Linked DNA regions of Drosophila melanogaster. The protein of the gene in region 1 purifies or fractionates together with the protein of each later gene. This does not show direct contact. Each region holds a gene or a part of one and is shown on either strand. Other genes may lie near its edges.

The links.
Region 2: the proteins of Taf5 (region 1) and Taf4 purify together in Drosophila melanogaster (affinity purification with western blotting; 3 studies listed by BioGRID). This does not show direct contact.
Region 3: the proteins of Taf5 (region 1) and Psc purify together in Drosophila melanogaster (affinity purification with western blotting, with the first as the bait; one study listed by BioGRID). This does not show direct contact.
Region 4: the proteins of Taf5 (region 1) and Tbp purify together in Drosophila melanogaster (affinity purification with western blotting; 4 studies listed by BioGRID). This does not show direct contact.

Annotation. Positions count from the first base shown.
Region 1 is NT_033778.4:10,876,759-10,881,611, forward strand, and holds Taf5 (TBP-associated factor 5), read right to left. Parts: upstream 2,916-4,853; 5' UTR 2,848-2,915; coding exon 733-2,847; 3' UTR 554-732; downstream 1-553. Other genes in the region: nclb (no child left behind), read left to right, coding at 1-458; Pex6 (peroxin 6), read left to right, coding at 3,249-3,275, 3,570-4,082, 4,146-4,853. UniProt on the Drosophila melanogaster protein: TFIID is a multimeric protein complex that plays a central role in mediating promoter responses to various activators and repressors. May play a role in helping to anchor Taf4 within the TFIID complex.
Region 2 is NT_037436.4:16,111,601-16,116,270, reverse strand, and holds the start of Taf4 (TBP-associated factor 4), read right to left. Parts: upstream 3,060-4,670; 5' UTR 2,906-3,059; intron 2,482-2,905; exon of another isoform or gene 2,387-2,481; 5' UTR 2,130-2,386; intron 1,964-2,129; exon of another isoform or gene 1,960-1,963; 5' UTR 1,800-1,959; coding exon 1,428-1,799; intron 603-1,427; coding exon 441-602; intron 240-440; coding exon 1-239. Other genes in the region: Zn72D (Zinc-finger protein at 72D), read left to right, coding at 4,402-4,670. UniProt on the Drosophila melanogaster protein: TFIID is a multimeric protein complex that plays a central role in mediating promoter responses to various activators and repressors.
Region 3 is NT_033778.4:12,977,936-12,982,543, reverse strand, and holds the start of Psc (posterior sex combs), read left to right. Parts: upstream 1-1,549; 5' UTR 1,550-2,496; intron 2,497-4,322; 5' UTR 4,323-4,380; coding exon 4,381-4,608. UniProt on the Drosophila melanogaster protein: Polycomb group (PcG) protein. PcG proteins act by forming multiprotein complexes, which are required to maintain the transcriptionally repressive state of homeotic genes throughout development.
Region 4 is NT_033778.4:21,685,662-21,689,249, reverse strand, and holds Tbp (TATA binding protein), read left to right. Parts: upstream 1-1,607; 5' UTR 1,608-1,797; coding exon 1,798-2,580; intron 2,581-2,644; coding exon 2,645-2,923; 3' UTR 2,924-3,058; downstream 3,059-3,588. Other genes in the region: CG10307 (uncharacterized protein), read right to left, coding at 28-207; BaraC (baramicin C), read left to right, coding at 740-791, 860-1,146; eIF3k (eukaryotic translation initiation factor 3 subunit k), read right to left, coding at 3,140-3,588. UniProt on the Drosophila melanogaster protein: General transcription factor that functions at the core of the DNA-binding multiprotein factor TFIID.

The DNA.
Region 1 (4,853 bases):
GCGACGCTGAGGGCGTCAACTCGTCCAGCATTGAGTGGAAAGTTGACGGTGAAGTGGAGAAGGTCCTGTGGCATCCCACACAGACCGACTACTTCATCGTGGGCACCAACGATGGCACCTTGCATTACGCCGACAAACGTTCTCCTGGACAACTGCTGTGGTCCGTAAAGGCCCACAACGAGGAAATCTCCGGTGTGTGCTTCAACAACCAGAAGCCTAATCTGCTGACCTCCACCTCCACGGAGGGCACCCTAAAGGTGTGGAACTTTGATGGCACAGAGGCAAAGCACGTCTACGAGCACGAGTTCAACATGGGTCGCTTGCAGTGCATGCGCCAGTGCCCCGAGGATCCCTACACCCTGGCCTTCGGCGGAGAGAAGCCTCCGCGCTGTGCGATCTTTAACATCAAGAACTCGATAGCCGTGCGCCGAACGTTTGGAATCCCTGATGCAGAGTAGGCAAATCGTACAGCTACGTATTTATCTGTGTATATGCTTTATATGACTTTTAAATAAATATGAATTATATATAAGAACCTTAATGATTGACTTTTATATTAATTAAAATTTATTGATAACTTGCGCATATATGCACTTTACACTTTTATGCTTAAACAACTAATCGACATTTCAGGGGGGATGGGTCACAAACGAAATACAAAACATTAATCCTAAACATTCCGAGCATTCCTTAACACTACATTACGTATACCAAATAAGCTTATCTGTGCTCCTAACTCTTGAATAGACCCACGCACATCAGGAGATTTCGGCGCGTAAAGTGCAGGCTGACAAATGGCGAGTTCTTGCTGGGGAAAGTACGCATGAGGTAGACGTCCTCGTCGTTCTCATCCTGATGGTGCGACACAGTGATGTGATTGCTGATATAGTCTTCGGTAACCTTGTGAAAGTCCCACAGAGTTAGATTGTTATCCAAGCCGGCTGCAGCCAGGACTGTTCCATCGCGACTAAAGGTGATCGTGGTCACAGTGCTAGTGTGCCTCAACAGGGTGGTGACCAGGGATCCGTTCGACAGATCCCAGATGATGATATTGTGATCTACTGAACCCGAGGCCAGATACCGGCCGCAGGCGGAGAAGGCCAGAGAACTCACCGATCCCTTGTGGCCCGTCATCAGGCGTACCGACTGACCGGTCATGTTGTCCCACAGGCGTACCGTGCGATCGCTAGAACCGGTGGCCACATAATTGGAATTGGGATGAAATTGTACACAATCCACGTCCGACAAGTGACCCACGAATACGCGCAACGCTTGATTGGAATCCGTGGCCCACAGACGAGCAGTTTTGTCGTACGAACAAGAAACAAAATAGTAGCCATGCGGCGCAAAGCGAACATCCCACACCGGGTAAACGTGCCCGCGGTAGGTGACTACGCAGGACCAGGTGAGCAGAGACCACAGCCTTATGGTGCTGTCCTCGGAACATGAGAGCAACAGGTTCATCTCGGGGGCAAAGGCACAGCGGTATACGGGTCCGGTGTGACCCATTAAGCTCCTGGTTACCTCACCACTTCGGTCATCCAGCATACGCACATTGATATCCGCCGATTCCTTGTCCAGTTCGCGAAGGGAATCTGCATCCTTCAGCGTACGCAGCTTCGCGGGCGTCAATGACCAAATCCTCACGCTAGAATCGCCAAATCCACAGGCCAACATCGTGGAATCGTCTGAAATCTCGGCACAGGTTACGCCCTGATGGGAATTAAGCACCGTGTAGAAGACGGCAGAGGGCAGTTGATCCTTGCTGAGGGCTAAACGCTTGCTGGCTTCCCTGAGAGCCTTAAGCTTTAGCAACTTGTCCGAATCCTTCAGTTCCGGCAGGGGAATTCTGTCGATGGATGGAGCATTCGGATCCGACTTGGACTTTTTCGACAGCAGGGGATCCTTTTTTGGCTTTTTCTTTTTCGGACGATCCGGGGCATCCGGATCATCGTCCTCCTCCTCTGGTGCCGGCGCTGGAGTGGTCAGAGTCTGAAAGTCCACCTCCTTGAGCAGTCCGTAGTACACCCGCATTTTGTTGTCCTGTCGCTTGGCCTCTCCGAGGTGCGAGCCCGCGGTGGCGACGCACTGCAGCTTGTTGCGCGCCATGCCCTCGTATGTGTCGAAATGCAAGTACTTGGAAACAATATCTGCCACCACTTCCTGCCGGCGATCCTGAATGTGTCGCTTGAACAGAGAGTGCGAGTCCCTGGACATGCGAATGACAAACTTATCCTGCTCCATGGCTACTACGAGGTCATTCTCCAGCAGCTCCTCGGGCTTAGACAGCAAAAGAAGGTTGAAAAGACCCTCTATGTAGTAGCCGTCGAGATCGCATTTGTACTTCTCAATGAATTCTTTGGCCTTCTCCCTTAGTCCACTGGCGAGGATCTTGAAGTAGATCTGCACCAGAATTGGGTACAGAACCATGGACAGCTCATGCTTGTATATGTCCAGGGAGTCCTCAACGAAAGTGCGCAGCTCCTTGTATGCCTGCTCATAGTGCTGAGCATCAAAGCTGTCGTCGTCGATGAACTTGGCCAGTTCCTCTGCAGCATTGGCCTCCGTCACCGCGGACTGTTTATGACCCTGCGCCGGAGATTGGACATGTTTCCGCTCCCGGTTGGCATCGCCAGCTCCCAAAACTGCGCCCAGCACCTGCTGAACATCACTTTCGCTGATTTCCGACAATTCCACACTGCTCACATTCGCCTCTTGGCAGAGCAGCTCCTCAGTGCTCTTCAGCTGGTACTTTTTGATGAGTTTCAGCAGGCACAGCAGCTCACGCTTGTCGTGGGACAATTGAGTACCGTTTCCCCCGTTTATATTGCTCACTTCCAGGCTCATTTTCGCGGAAAATTGAAATATATGGAACTTGTGTACTATTTTGTTATGCGTGGAAAAGTGTGACCAGGTTGGCATCGGTTGAAAACGGCCAAGTGGAGAATGAAATATACTAAAATGCACCAAGTACAGTCAAAATATACAGTAGCCACTAGCGAAGACGGATTCTAAAAATAAATTGTATTAATACATTATAAATTATATCTTTTTGCCAATTTTTGGAATTACTTAAAATATAATGACATATTTCATTCTTTCATTTTACTACAAAATTAATATTTAACTTTTATGCAGGTCAAAGAAATTATTTGAAGATGTGCTTATAAAGGTCTTACTGTGGACAGCTGACTGAATACTTTTAGTATTTTTTGAGCAAATATCTTACCAGAATCAAAACATTCGTAATGAAGAGGAGAGTAATTGTGAAAAAGGTAAAATACAAAGTAACTGGCCAAATAAACAAGCTAATTTTTATAGCAGAGGGTAATAATTTGCTGTGCATTAACAGAATTAACTTGCCATTGCATATTTCAGTGTATTTGTCTGGCGCCTATCCCCCAACTCCTTGAACTTTGACACCGCCTCCTCGAAATTAACCCTTGTACTCGTGCTTTCTGTTGTGTTTAGTCCATATTTATTGTAAAAAATGAATGAAAATGATGATGCGGTAGGTCCATATGTAACATTTAAGCCATATTAGCTAATATCGTGATCAATTCCCGCAGAAAAAAGTCGTCGGCAAGCGGAATTCGGTGTCGTTCGATCAACAAGATCCAGGACAGCCGAGATTTAGCTTCTCTGGGAGAGTACAGGAGCTAGTCGAGGGCTACAATTCGGCCATACAGCTGCTGGCGCCCAAGTGGCCCTGGTTCCTCTACCCCGGATATCTGACATACGCCGTATACTGGCGTTACGCCAAATATTACAAGGGCAAGTTTCTGCTGACCCCCATTCCGAACCGCCTCTACGATCTGCTGATCAAGAACGAGCAGATTAAGTCGGAGCACCTGGTGTTCGCCAGTCAGGAGGTGTACGAAAACTATGCGGAATCGCCGGACGTCAACTTTGTCAACTTGGTTATCCGCGGCAGGAGGGTAAGAATCGGTAAGCCGCTAGCTTCAGACGAAGGAAATATGACCCAAACGGTTATCAAGCAAATGCTCCAGGAGGCGCCGCATACGATTGTGGCCCAGATCTTGCCGGCTGCACAGTGCCAACCCAATTGTCTGTACGTTCAGGTGGGTATCTAGTTCTAAATAAATGGAATATTTTCTATAATTCTACATCGTGTAAAATTTCAGGAGAACTTCTACGGCAACATATTGGATCGCTTTCAAATCCGCTCCAACTGCTGGGTGCAGGTAGAGCATTTTGCCGATGAGCAGACAATACCTGGAATAGCAACCAAAGCACATGTGTACTTAGTCGCAGATCCCCATGAACTTCCCGCCGAACTGACAGAGGTCATCCTGAGCAACTATTTCAATACACCTCGACTCATGCATCGTGGACATACCTACCGCATCGAGGTGAACGCAGAGTTGGTGGGCACTGCGACTTATGCCCACTATTACCTGATATTCGCTCACCTACGCCACGTCCACCTAAAGTGTATTCACCTGGAGACAAAGGGCAGCGAGTTCGAGCTGCAAGCGATTGTTGCCAAAAACTTTAGCAACCTTGTTCAAGTGCCTGCATCTCACAGTTTCCTGCCTCGTCAAGTGCTTGACAGCATGGCCATCGTTGAGAACTATCCAAGTGGACTTCGAAAGCCCTATAAGCTGTTGCGCTCCTCAGTAGATGCTTTCCTGCCAAAAAAGTCCGCCTGCCTGTCGTCAAAGCACATATTTCCTGTGTTCCTCCTGCAAGGCGAGCGAGGATCGGGCAAATCAAAGCTTGTGAGCGCCGTAGCCCAAGAGTTGGGGATGCATATTTACGGAGCAGATTGCGCAGAGATCGTTTCGCAAGTTCCCTCCCACACGGAGATGAAGCTAAAAGCCGTATTTGCC
Region 2 (4,670 bases), on another chromosome or scaffold:
TGTTGTTGTTGTTGTTGGTATCTACTTACAGCTGCAGCCGGCACAGTTTGCAGACGGATCTGTGTGGTTGTGGGATGGTTTGTGGTGCTTGTCGTGTTGCTGTTATTGCTGGTGTTGGTTATAGTCTGTGTCACCGTCGGCGGACCCGTCGTCGTGCCCACGCGCAACAGCTGGAATCCGTTATCCGTCTTGACCAGCAATGCCGGGGTCTGACCCGTATTAAGTGTGCTTAAAGTTATCTAAAAGTAGAGAGAGAAGACAGAGAGACTCGGTTTTCATCTGCTGGAGCATGGTGTGTATGGTGTATGGTGTGAGTGAATGGTGGGCTGTGCACATGCGTGTTTGTGAGGAGCGTGGCTGGGTTAGGGAGCTCTGTGAGTTAGTAGGGAAGAACCCACCACAACAACCATAGTAATAGCAATATTATCCTTCATACTCACCGATGGACTCTGCGGTCTCACGCCCGCCATGTGGGAGTTGATCACCACGCGACTGAGCGGGTTGGTGGGCACATTCTTCTGCTGCTGCTGTGACGGCGCCTGTTGGCGCATGCCCACCACCACGCCAGCCGGCAGCATTGAATTGAGCAGCGGTTGACCGGCCTGGCAAATACGCAACATTATCATTAGTCTATCAATTCATCTCATCACATTTTCAAAGTCTATTTGGACCAAAGGATGCATTAAGAGGTTTTGCGGGATTCTAAATTAGCCTACATCATGCAGCAGTTGGCTCGGCAAAGGACCCCAATTAGTGCGGAAATAAGTTGTTTAACTGATTCTCTCTGTGCTAACCAAATTTGAAGGCGTATAATCTACTATATCTTGTTCTATTTAAAGCGAGCATTGAAAGCAATAGTTCTACAAATGTAATGGTTTGGATATTGGTGTAGAATAAGGTTTCTGTTGAACAAGTGCGTGTTTTTGAACAGTTGTTAGGGATTTGATCTTTGGGAAACTTTTCGGCATTGGGATAAAGTATTTCAAATTAAAGATATGTCTTTTATGGTGATTAAACTGCTTTAAGTTCTAATGAAGTGAATTGATATGACATTCGTAAAAAAAGAAATTAATTTTAAATAAAAGTACAAAAATGAGTGCAACAAACTCAGATATAAGTTTCAGATTTCAACTCAGATATAAGTTTCAGATTTCACATTAATGAATTAAGGATATTTTTTAAGCGTAAAATACGTTATCAAGCCTGGGACTAACCCCATTTGGATAAGGATATGGGAATTTCGGGCAGCGAGGTAGACAGATGAAAGCATAATAAAAGTATACAACCAAAGTGTGTGCGGCCACTACTATCCGATTCGAGCGAGGAATTGAGGGGGTTTTGATTGGGGATCAGATTTGGACGAAGTGATACGCCCGAGTTGCGATCGCCTAGCGCCCGAAGAGTGGGTTTAGCTTTAATATGGATACCTGATTGATGGTCTTGGTCATGGTTACGATTCCTGCTGGTGCACTTGAGACTAGACCCGCCGGCAGGGTGACAGCATGGTGGTTGGATTTAATAACTAGGGTTTGTGTTTGGGTGGCACCTACGGATTGCGTCTGCTGTTGCTGCTGTTGTTGCTGTTGCGACTGCTGCTGCTGTTGGACATGATGCACCTGCTGAAGTCCCTGATGCTGACCACCGATCCCCGCCTGGATCGTCTTGATGGTGGTGGTATTCGGTAGCTGGGCCGTGGAGATGACCGCGCCGGGATTGCCGGCTATGCTGATGGTGCCATTGGGCAGCGGCTGGCTGGTGAAGGTGATGCGATTGCCGGCAGCTGTCTGGCTGGTGTTCATCGTGCTGTGTGGTGTTTATGTTATTGGCGAGTGTGTTTCTCCTATTCCACTGACTTCTGTGTGTTGGTGTGGGCGAGCGATCCTGTTCCGATCAACTAGTTGCGCACATCCTGTGTTGGTGTTGGCGGAGTTGTTGCATGCTGTGCGCTCCAGAAGCGAACTGCAATGCAAGGGGAGGCGCTTTTAGTATTTATACAAGATTCGGCTCGAGGCGGTGGAGAAACAGGTAGGCGGTGGAGGTGCTACCTGACCGCCGGCTACCTGGCGGCCGTGCGCCATAAACCAGATGCTGCGTACACCTGGATGCCGCGCACAGGTAATCGCATTCACCTTGGCCAAAAAAGCGGGTGCTCCGCTGAATTGGTGCTGCGCTGGCTCACTCGCACTCGCCTTTGCCGTCACTGTCGTCGGCCTTTCTCCTGGCGCATCCGTTGCAGTCGTTGTCGCGTGTGTGTTATCTCGCTAATTCGCTGCCTTTTGTTTGCGCCGCTAAGCCTTTCTACACTTTTCCCGATCGGCGGGTTTTCCTGCGCACACACACACTCGCGCGTGCTCGCACGGACTGATTGTTGAGCACTGGAAGAATGCTTTATTTTGATTATTTTGATGTACAAAAAATTTGGCAGCGACGGTGCCAGAACGCCGCCATTTTCACGAATGCGCGTGCAAAGCGAAAATCGAGGCTGGTGGACGTTGCCAGATAGCGTGCGAAAAACACGTAACCAACGATCTGGCAATGCCGCTCGTTTATGCGGGTGGCGAGTGCGCAATATTCGTGAATGCACTAAATTTAAAAAAAAGTTCAACTCGAAAGTGGAGCACTTAATAATTGATGATTTCTATTAGGAAAAATTCATATTTTTCGAAAATCCGCATAAAAATATTTAAAACAAAAAGAAAACAAATGCATCTTGTACATGTCTCCAGTGGCAATATGGAGCATCGTGCCAGCCGTAGTATTAGTAATTTCTACTTTAGTGGCCAGCGGGTGGTGGCATAAACCCACGTCCGTGTCTGTGCGACTGTGTGCGTGTGTTTCAGTATAGGTTTTGTACAGCCTGCAATGTCGGGGGAAATTTTCTGGGCCCTGTGGCAGATGCACTCACTTCAATTCATTTTGCGTTCAAACTCGGTGCACTGGGGCGCATTTTAAACGATTTCCCGTTGCGTTTCTCTGGCGATTTAGCCGAAAACCGAGTAAATATTGTTTACGGACCGCCGAGGTACGGACGAGTTGTGCAGTGTGACCGTTGGCGACAATATCGTCGTGTTAAACGCGATACCGAATTAAAATACTAGAAAAGAAGTAGTGACTTGGATATCATGTCGATTTTTTATAGCCTTGTTGCGTACATTTTCAAAACCAAAAACGTTTGCTGGCATTTTGATGCCATCGGATTTTAGCCGCATACCAAATTAATTATATGCTCATTAGTTTTTATATGGGTAATAAGCCACAATTTTTAAGGATCAAAATAATTTATTTTAATACATTCGAATACGATACATTTTAAATCCTTTGAACTATTATTAGAGTACTGTTTAAAGCTGAATGTTAGGTAATTGAATAAATGAAGAATACGCTCAAAAATTAGAAACTACTAAAACTATTATTAGAGTACTGTTTAAAGCTGAATGTTAGGTAATTACAGAATTGAAGAAAATGCTCAAAAATGTTATTATTTTTTTATATTTAAACGCTATTTGCTCATATACTTAAATCATATATATATTCAAACGAAGGAGTAGTACTTTGTAACGGTCAAACAATCGATAGTTCCACTTTGATACCGAACTACATGCCCCACCACCAACGTGATGGTATTTTTGTTAGTTTTCGGTATCTTTGAAATGCTAAACTTCAGCACAACGGGCAAAATAATTCTGTAGAGCGAGTTAAATACATATCGTACAAATAGCGGTCTTAATAAAATAGACCATACCAATTTTAATATTAAACAAATTCCGTTAAATAAGCAACATATATAGTGTAATGGTATATTTTCCAAAAACTTCCAAAAATAAAAAGTGGTATTTGTTTCAAGTCGGGCTCAACATAGTATGATTATCCGATTACGCTGCGGTCACACTAGTACCGGCCCATAGAGACGGAAGAAAAATTTTATTTAACCGATTTCAGGTAATTGCCATTTGCATTAACTGTTTTTTAACCATGCACAACTAGGGCTAAAATGCCGTTGGAAAAGAGATCGCCACGTGTGCTCACTCGCATGTGGGCCAGACACGCGAAAAGTGCGTCCAAAGCTGCGGGGTAAAAATCGATAGAGAAAAGCAGATGAAAAACGGATGGGAAAGTGGTGGGGGGAGCTCCTTTCTCAACATGACGTGACTAAGACCACTTTGCTTTTACAGCTATAAACAGGCTATTACTCGGAAAGCACATATAAATTCCCGAATAAATCCGCATTCGAAGTCCCATAAATATTGACAGTCAGTCGGATAGGACAGCTAATGTAAGTAGAGCACTTGGTGGGGATGGGGGCAGGTCCAAAATGCAAATGCAAATGCCAATGGTAAACTAGTAAACCGCAGACAGATTGTCAAACAAATTCGATTTTCGTAATTGCAGCGCACCGCGACAATGGCCAACAACAACTACGCCGGGTTTAACTACGGCGGCACCCAGTACAATACGGGCCAAGTCTCGTACCCGGCGGTAACCAATGCCACCTACGCGAATGCGGCCGCCTATCAGAATGCCGCTGTGGCCGCCGGACAGGGTGGTTATGGCGGAGCAGCAGGAGCGGGCGCTGGCGCCACCTCTGGCCCTGGGGCGGGGGGTTATGGTGGCTACGGCGACTATCGAAGTGCCATGCAATACGACGCCACCAAGACATTCTATCAGCAGTC
Region 3 (4,608 bases), 2.1 Mb from region 1:
TTACTGGAGTGATTACAAAAAAAAAACAAATCCCTGCCTAAAACACCACTTAAATTAAAATTCATTGGGGTTTTTTGACCATCACTATTGTGAAAGATATGATAACAGAATGCAATTCTATTATGATTCCGTAAAAGTTCACGCAAAGACAATTCTTGAGTGCATATTTTGTCTAGACGATTCATACAAAAGGCTAAAAATAGACCAAAAAGCACATTTTCAATAAAATGCAAGCTTTCGACATAAGGTCCGATCGGTAAACAATTTTATAGTAACATGAACTTAAAAAAAAGTTGGAAACAAACTAAGACAAAACAAAAATATTTGTTGATTGAAAAATATAATAACATTTAAATGTTATGTATTCAATGATAATTTTAGTTGTTTGGCTTGAAGGGTACTTTTACAATTGTGTACTTATCAAACTTTTAAATATAAAATTTTAATATTTTTACAGTTTTAATATACTCTAAGATTACTACTGTATTTCTTCTATGAGAATAAAAATCAATCTTTATTATTGTTTGGGATGAAACTTTAAAAACATTTTGTAATTTATTAAGGCTAGTTTAAGAAATGGTTGAAATATAAGAATAAGAAATATAATAAGAAATATATTAATTTAAAACCTCCTGACATCTCCGATTTTACTGTGGGCAAACCAATCAATAAAAGTATTATAATAGAATGGAAAATGAATAAGAAATTAAAAAATTTTAAAAAGAAGTTTTCCCTGCAATAAAACTGAAAGAAAAAATCTTTAGACTTTTTGATCTGCGAACTTCGAAGACTTCAGAATAGTATTGGGTGAGTACGCTACTATTTAGAGGATAGGATCATTATAAATAAAAATATGCAAAATAAACTCTTAACTCCCACGGCAATGATAATAATGGTGTTAATTTGCATGGAAAGTATCGTCATGGTACGGTTCCTTCGTTCGCAATTTATCCGTTAGATCTGCATTGTTACGTTACGTAGAGCAGTCTAACGGTTAATTCGCCAAGACGGAAACGAAGTTGCTGCTTTTATTGTTGTTGGCTGCCACTGATTGGAGAGCTCTTTCGCGCTCACATTGTGGTTGTTGCTGTTGCTGCCACTTCTGTGGGGGAAAAAAGGAAAAGGCAAGGGAAAAGAAGCAAAAAGCATTTCCAATTTGGAGGCATTAAATAGCGTGGGAGCGAGAGGGGTGCAGATATAGACGTACGCCTACGTGCAAATATGCGATTTCTGCTGACGGAAATTGCAAGTTGCGATTACATAGGCACTCATTCTACCTTGATTGCACATGGTCTTATGTATTCCGAAGTGTTTGCAGATGGATAAGAGCCCGTAAGAGTTGTAAAACCTCTGCCATTTATGTGCAGCCCTTTGTTCTCTATCCCCCTCCCTCTTCAATTTTCCGCTTGTACATACAGAAACGAACAAAGAAACGGCTGGCAAAGCAAAAGAAAAGAGCCAAACGCCGACGTCAATGTCGGCGTCGACGCAGGCAGCGGCAGCGACCGACGATGTGGCGACCGAAAAACAGAGTCAGCGAAGAGCGCCTGTTTTAGTGCAACACCAACATTCAACGAGAGCGGTTCGTCGACGCTGTGCGGAAAGATTACAGAGCGAACGAGAGAGACCGAGCCAGAGCGACGACGCCCCGCAACGAGAACAACAAAAGAGCCGAGTGCGCGTGCAAGAGAGATAGCTGACTTGTTGCCCAGTGAGAGGCCGGCGAGAGCGAGACGGACGATCAGTGTGCGAGCGACGAAAAAGAAAACAAAGATACTCGCCCAGAGCAGTTGGCTACCTGTCTTTGGCCTGGTATATAAGTGTGTGTATGCGAGAGAGAGTAAATAGCGGGCAACGCAGCAGTACATAAACGAAAAGCAGCGTGGTCGTTAGTCGAACAAAAACTCTCAAAGCGAACGGACGTGTGCGGTCGGTTGTTTCGATACTCCTGCTTTATCGCTATCCAAACAGAGTGAAGCGACCACTATAAATAACGAAACAAGAAACATGTGTTTATATTACAACCAGAGCTCAAAGCTTCAGTTGCATAATAATAATAATAATAAAAAAGCAATCTGAAGCCAATTTCCTTTGTGTGACAAATGCCGTAGCAGCAACAACAGAAGCACAACACAACTACGTCTGCTGGCTTATGTACGTCGCGCGCGCTTGTGTGTGTGTGGGGCAGAAAACATAGAGCAAAGCATAATACACAATAAAGGTGCCCGCGAAAGCAGAGCAGCCGAAAGTGCCAGCGCGTGTTGGTGTGGTTTGAATGTGCAGGCGAAGTGAAGAAGTAGAAAGAAAATAAAATAAAATAAAAGTGAAGTGGAGCATAGTGAAGAAAGAGAAGCAGAAACGCTGACTCAAAACTCAAGTGTGGATTATTTACTTGGATTATTCCTCTTGCCATTGGATTATTTATGTATACAAGGCGACCACCGCGATGCCAATTAACTGGCTGGATTATTAGTGGATTAAAGATTGGATACAAAGGTACATGATTGGCGTTAATCAACACTGCTCTCGACCGGCAGCTGTTGCGCTCTCCCCCCACCAACCACAGCCCCTCTTCTGTTTTCTCTTGATGACCCCCTCTCTTTCTTTCTCCTTTTGTCCCAGCAAGTAAGAATTTCGATTGGACACACGGCAATTGAAAAAGGGGAGCATGAGAATATGAGCGTGTGTGACTGATTTTTTTTTACTGCTCTTTCATTTAGCAACGTTTTTTGTTTTATGTTTATGTACTTGTTTCTTTGAATGAAAGCAATATGCGAGTGTGTGTGTGTGCGTGCTTGTGAAAGAGGAGATAAAGCCGCAGTCTCGGTTCTGCATTCTCCGAATTTTCGCTGGGTTGTTGTTTTTTCTGTTCCCTGTCACAGTCTCGCGTTTCCCTTCTTTCAACATCCCTTCGCATCCCTACCCACACACACACACACAAACATACGCGAGCATATAAACACACGCACACCACACACAAATAAGAAATTCCGCTGCTTTTTTTTTTATTATCCTTTTCATGTTGGTACTCACTCACATTTTTTTGCGCGCGCGAGAATCCCTGAGACTTTAAACACGGCAATGGAATGGGTTCGGTAAAATAAGAAGGGAAAGGGCCAACAGAAGGGTTCCTCTTTTCGCACAGCACTTAAAAGTGATGTAAAAAGGATTTAAAGAGGCCTGCTGGCAATTTCTTTTCGCCCTCTCCCATATACAGTCATTCATATTCCATTGCCATATTTTCTGTACACAAATATAATTTTCCATATTCTGTGTGCCCCCGGAGTTGAAAAAGTTTTTCCGAAAAGTTTACCGTATGTACCTTGACTTTTTACTGGCGCGTTGATGCAAAAACAACTTGAAGTTGTTTGAAATACACATTTTGTTCGACGCCCCCACAGATCCGCCCCCCACTTTCGATGTACTTGGCATCTGGTTAAAACTCCACTCGGCACTCTTCACTCTCCCCCCTCCACCCTTCCATCCATAATAAAACAAAGCACCCCTGTGCAACTCTGCTCCCCCCTCTTTTGATCCCAAAAGTGCTGTGCATTTCAATATATTCGACGTAGGCATTCCCATGGCAACTACAACATCCATTATCGAGGGCCCCCACATCCATCGACTGATTGCAAATAATAGCTGCCAGATTGCGACTCCTTTCTGTCTACTGCTCAAGTCCCACAAGCTTTAATTTGGGACATCATGTCTGAGTTAAATGCATTTTGATTTCTTTGAGCTAAAGCGTTCTCTAACAAATTAAAGTCAAAGCATATTCACTAAACTCTAAAAATTGAAATGATCTTTAAGTTTCGATGTTCATGCAACAACATATTTGTTTATTTTACTTAATAAGTTCTTGTCTTTGATCATTTATATTGAGTCAGCGTACTTGGCAACATCATTAAAATATTTTCTGAACAGATCTCTTATGACGATCACTGTAGAAACTTTATCACCATTTCAACTATATTAAAACTGATTCACGAAGAATGATGCAAAAGAGAAGATTGCAGTGAGGAAAAATACGATCCCACCGAGTTCATTAACTCTACCAGTTTTCCCAGAAAGTGTATATTTCCCTTGCCTCCATTATTCTATCGTAAACAGCGAGGGGCGAGTGGAGCTTTAAGCTTCTTCGCGCACCAACGAGGCTATACCGATATAGCTTCGGCTTATTGCTTTCTGCGGCTCAGCGTCTGATTTATTTATAATCTTCAGCACGCTCTCTTCTCGAGTCGATTTACATTTTCCATTTCACATTTTCCATGCGCTCCTTTATTCGCATTTAATTTTAACTTCTGGCATTATCTATTTTGCAGATTGACGCTTGTGCGAAAAACAAAAGCGAATTTTTAGCGGCGAGAGTGTATTATTACTATGATGACGCCAGAATCGAAAGCAATACAGCCGGCAGCAGCAACAACAAAGCAAACAGCAGAAGCAACAGCAACAACAACAATGGCTCACACACAACAAAAGTCGCAGTTGTCAACGTTGGCGAAAACAACAACGACAACGGCAACGAATAAGGCGGCCAAAAGCGTTGTCAGCAATGCAAATAGCAGTGGCAACAATTCGAGCAAAAAGCTGGCTTTGTCTCAGTCT
Region 4 (3,588 bases), about 11 Mb from region 1:
TTGGCTATCTTGTGCACCAGGTGCCACCTTTGTTAGCTTGTTTTGGTTGAGGAACAGCTTCATCAGCGTCTCGCACTTCTCTATGATGCCCGGAACGTCGGAGATTTGGTAGTGGGACAGATTCAGGGAGAATGCCTTTTTGTATATGGCATCCTCGCAATTGGCCAGCACGTAGTTGTTGCGGAAAAACTGACAAACCTTCTCCATGTCGCCCTTATTAAGTGTTTACTTCTGCAGCACTTGAATTTGGTTGTCTTGGGTTCCAAACTATTTCACACTCTTTGGAAAACCTACTCTGTTTTTGGCGCTAGTAGCTTAGTTTTCAGGCCTTGTCTTTTGTAGTTTCGAACTGTCGCCCGATTTGCGCGTTTTTTCGTTTGTTTTGAGTGCATGTTATATAACGATTCTCGGAGTCTATATATGCACAAAAATCTCTATTTGCTGCACTCTCTTTTGCCTGCCTTCTCTTCCCAAGCTGATGAACTAAAATTAAAAATTTCATTTCCTGGGTAAAGGCATGCGCAAAATGCTAGATATTGGCAATAGGGTAGTTCTATTTTAAAATTGGTACATTGTCGCTTGTAATGTTTGTCGCACAAGGAAAGCTCAACATTTGACATTACCCATTCTCAGCTGCTAATTGGCAAAAAGCTCGTCTTTCTATCGGTTTATATAAATAGATTGTAAATTACCGAGCCGCTCTCAGTTGAAATTGAGCTCAGTGACTGGAAACTGCATCATGAGATCGTGTACTTTACTTGTTTTCATAGTGAGCACGCTGTTGTTTGCCGGTAAGTCAAGTGTGGGAACCACTAGAACCGCCACATCCATTCAACACTCTCTCTCTATTTTTCTCCAGTGACAAATGCGCAGCAGAATTATGATGGAAGAAATGGTCCCCATGAGTTCGGCACACCTGGAAACGGCATTTACATACGGGGTCAGAACGAAGGACCCTACACAGTGCCCGAAATGGGAGGAACGTTCCAAAACTCACCCTCAAGTGGGCAGCATTCCTACACCGATGAGCACGGAAATACTTACACCCATTCCTCAACGGCAACTGTCACAAGTTTGGCCTATTCAACCTTCGGTTTCAGCATGGGCGGCGTTCTCATTTTTCTAATTAGTTTAATAACCATTTAATTGCACTTTCCAAGTGCAAAAGTTCCAATTAATTAATTTTTAACACATCGTTTTTCAGTTCACGCCCACGAAAATCTATTGCTGAAACTGCATAGATGAGAATAACCATTTTCCTTCTAAGTATTATGCACTATTATTTATTCGCTATTTCTTTTGTTCACCTTATACACAAATTATTTAGCTATTAAACAGAAGTACAACAAAGTATACTTGATTCTTTTGAAAAGTGCGCCATTTTAGTTATCGATTGGCAACAACGTAAGGGAGAGATTTAACGTATAAGAAATATTTGAAACGTTGAAGTGTGATTTTTAACTAAACATTAAAATACAATCAAAGATAATTATTGTTATAATTATTTTCATACATATTTTCAATGAAATACTTAAATGCTAAGAACGTAACGATAAACGTAAGACCCAGCCAGCTATCGATAGTTGCGGCAAAATGCAGCGCTGACTTTGCCATTCTCACAAAACGAGCCACAGGTACAACGACGAACGCGGTTGCATTACATTATTATTATTATTACTATTAAATTAATTTCCCGCTCTGTGGGTATGCAATTAAAACCCAAAGTTGAGCCCGTTCAGCAATCTTGAATTGAGTCACTGAAAAATTCACCGGAGTCCACAATAAACCATCTGTAAGATGGACCAAATGCTAAGCCCCAACTTCTCGATTCCGAGCATCGGAACGCCGCTCCACCAGATGGAAGCGGACCAGCAGATAGTGGCCAATCCTGTGTACCATCCTCCGGCTGTATCGCAGCCGGATTCGTTGATGCCGGCACCCGGTTCCAGTTCCGTGCAGCACCAGCAGCAGCAACAGCAGTCGGACGCCAGTGGGGGATCAGGTCTCTTTGGCCACGAACCATCGCTCCCGCTGGCGCACAAACAAATGCAGAGTTACCAGCCATCGGCCTCCTATCAGCAGCAGCAGCAGCAACAGCAGCTCCAGAGTCAGGCGCCCGGCGGCGGTGGGAGCACTCCGCAGTCCATGATGCAGCCGCAGACGCCGCAGAGCATGATGGCCCACATGATGCCCATGAGTGAGCGGAGTGTGGGCGGTTCGGGGGCCGGAGGTGGCGGAGATGCCCTGAGCAACATCCACCAGACGATGGGCCCCTCCACGCCGATGACACCAGCCACACCAGGTTCCGCTGATCCCGGTATTGTGCCACAACTTCAGAACATCGTGTCCACGGTTAATCTGTGCTGCAAACTGGACCTCAAGAAAATAGCATTGCATGCGAGAAACGCCGAGTACAATCCTAAGCGATTTGCGGCTGTGATTATGCGAATCCGAGAGCCCCGGACCACCGCCCTTATTTTCAGCTCCGGCAAGATGGTGTGCACAGGGGCAAAGAGTGAGGACGACTCCAGACTGGCAGCGAGAAAGTATGCGCGCATCATCCAAAAGCTCGGTTTCCCTGTAAGACAAGACTTTACATTTCCTTTCTCTTCCCGGCGAATCTCTAACGCTTTCTCTCCCGCAGGCAAAGTTCCTCGACTTTAAGATTCAAAACATGGTCGGCTCCTGCGATGTCAAGTTCCCCATACGCTTGGAAGGCCTGGTGCTGACCCATTGCAACTTCAGCAGCTACGAGCCTGAGCTATTTCCCGGCTTAATCTATCGTATGGTGCGACCTCGAATCGTGCTCCTCATCTTCGTGTCCGGAAAGGTGGTGCTCACTGGAGCAAAGGTGCGGCAGGAGATCTACGATGCCTTCGACAAGATATTCCCCATTTTAAAGAAGTTCAAGAAGCAGTCATAAATAGGATAGCGCTTTATTAGTTCTGTACGTGTACGTTTTAAGGTCGGTAGTTCTGGAAGTCTGATCATATGAGTGGGAGCAGCCTGGCGAGCAGCTCCGATCGAGAATAAACCACAAAGTAATTTAGCTGTACGGACAGGCTTTTATTATTATTTTTTTTCCGTTAATTACTATTCGTAAAAATTTAGACAAGGACTATGAACGCGAATGAGGTTCCTACAGGCACTGGGCCATCAGGGCGCCCACGTTGTCGAACTCGATCTTCTCCGTAATGTTCTTCGTCTTGATTTTGTCGTCCTGCATGGCCACGATGACGAGTCCCTGGCCCTGGTTCTTCCAGCCATTGCGCTTGATCCAGCTCTCCAGCGTCGAGTCCTCGATGCCGCCGAGCAGCTCCTTAAGCAGGTCCTTGCGAATTGTCTGGAATGTGGTGCCCACCACATGCGAGACGAACTTGCGAATTGAATCGTGGAAGCCGGTGATGTGGCGGAACATGTTGCGGTTCACCTCGGCCCGCTGCCAGAAGAGGGTGAAGTCCGCCCGCTCCAGTATGTCGGCGAGGTCGATGATTGTCTGCACATTCTCGTCCTTCATCTGCTGGGGCAGCAGCAGGCACTTGGCCATCACGAAATCCGTGTGCGGCAGGCTGGTCAGTGACTTCAGCA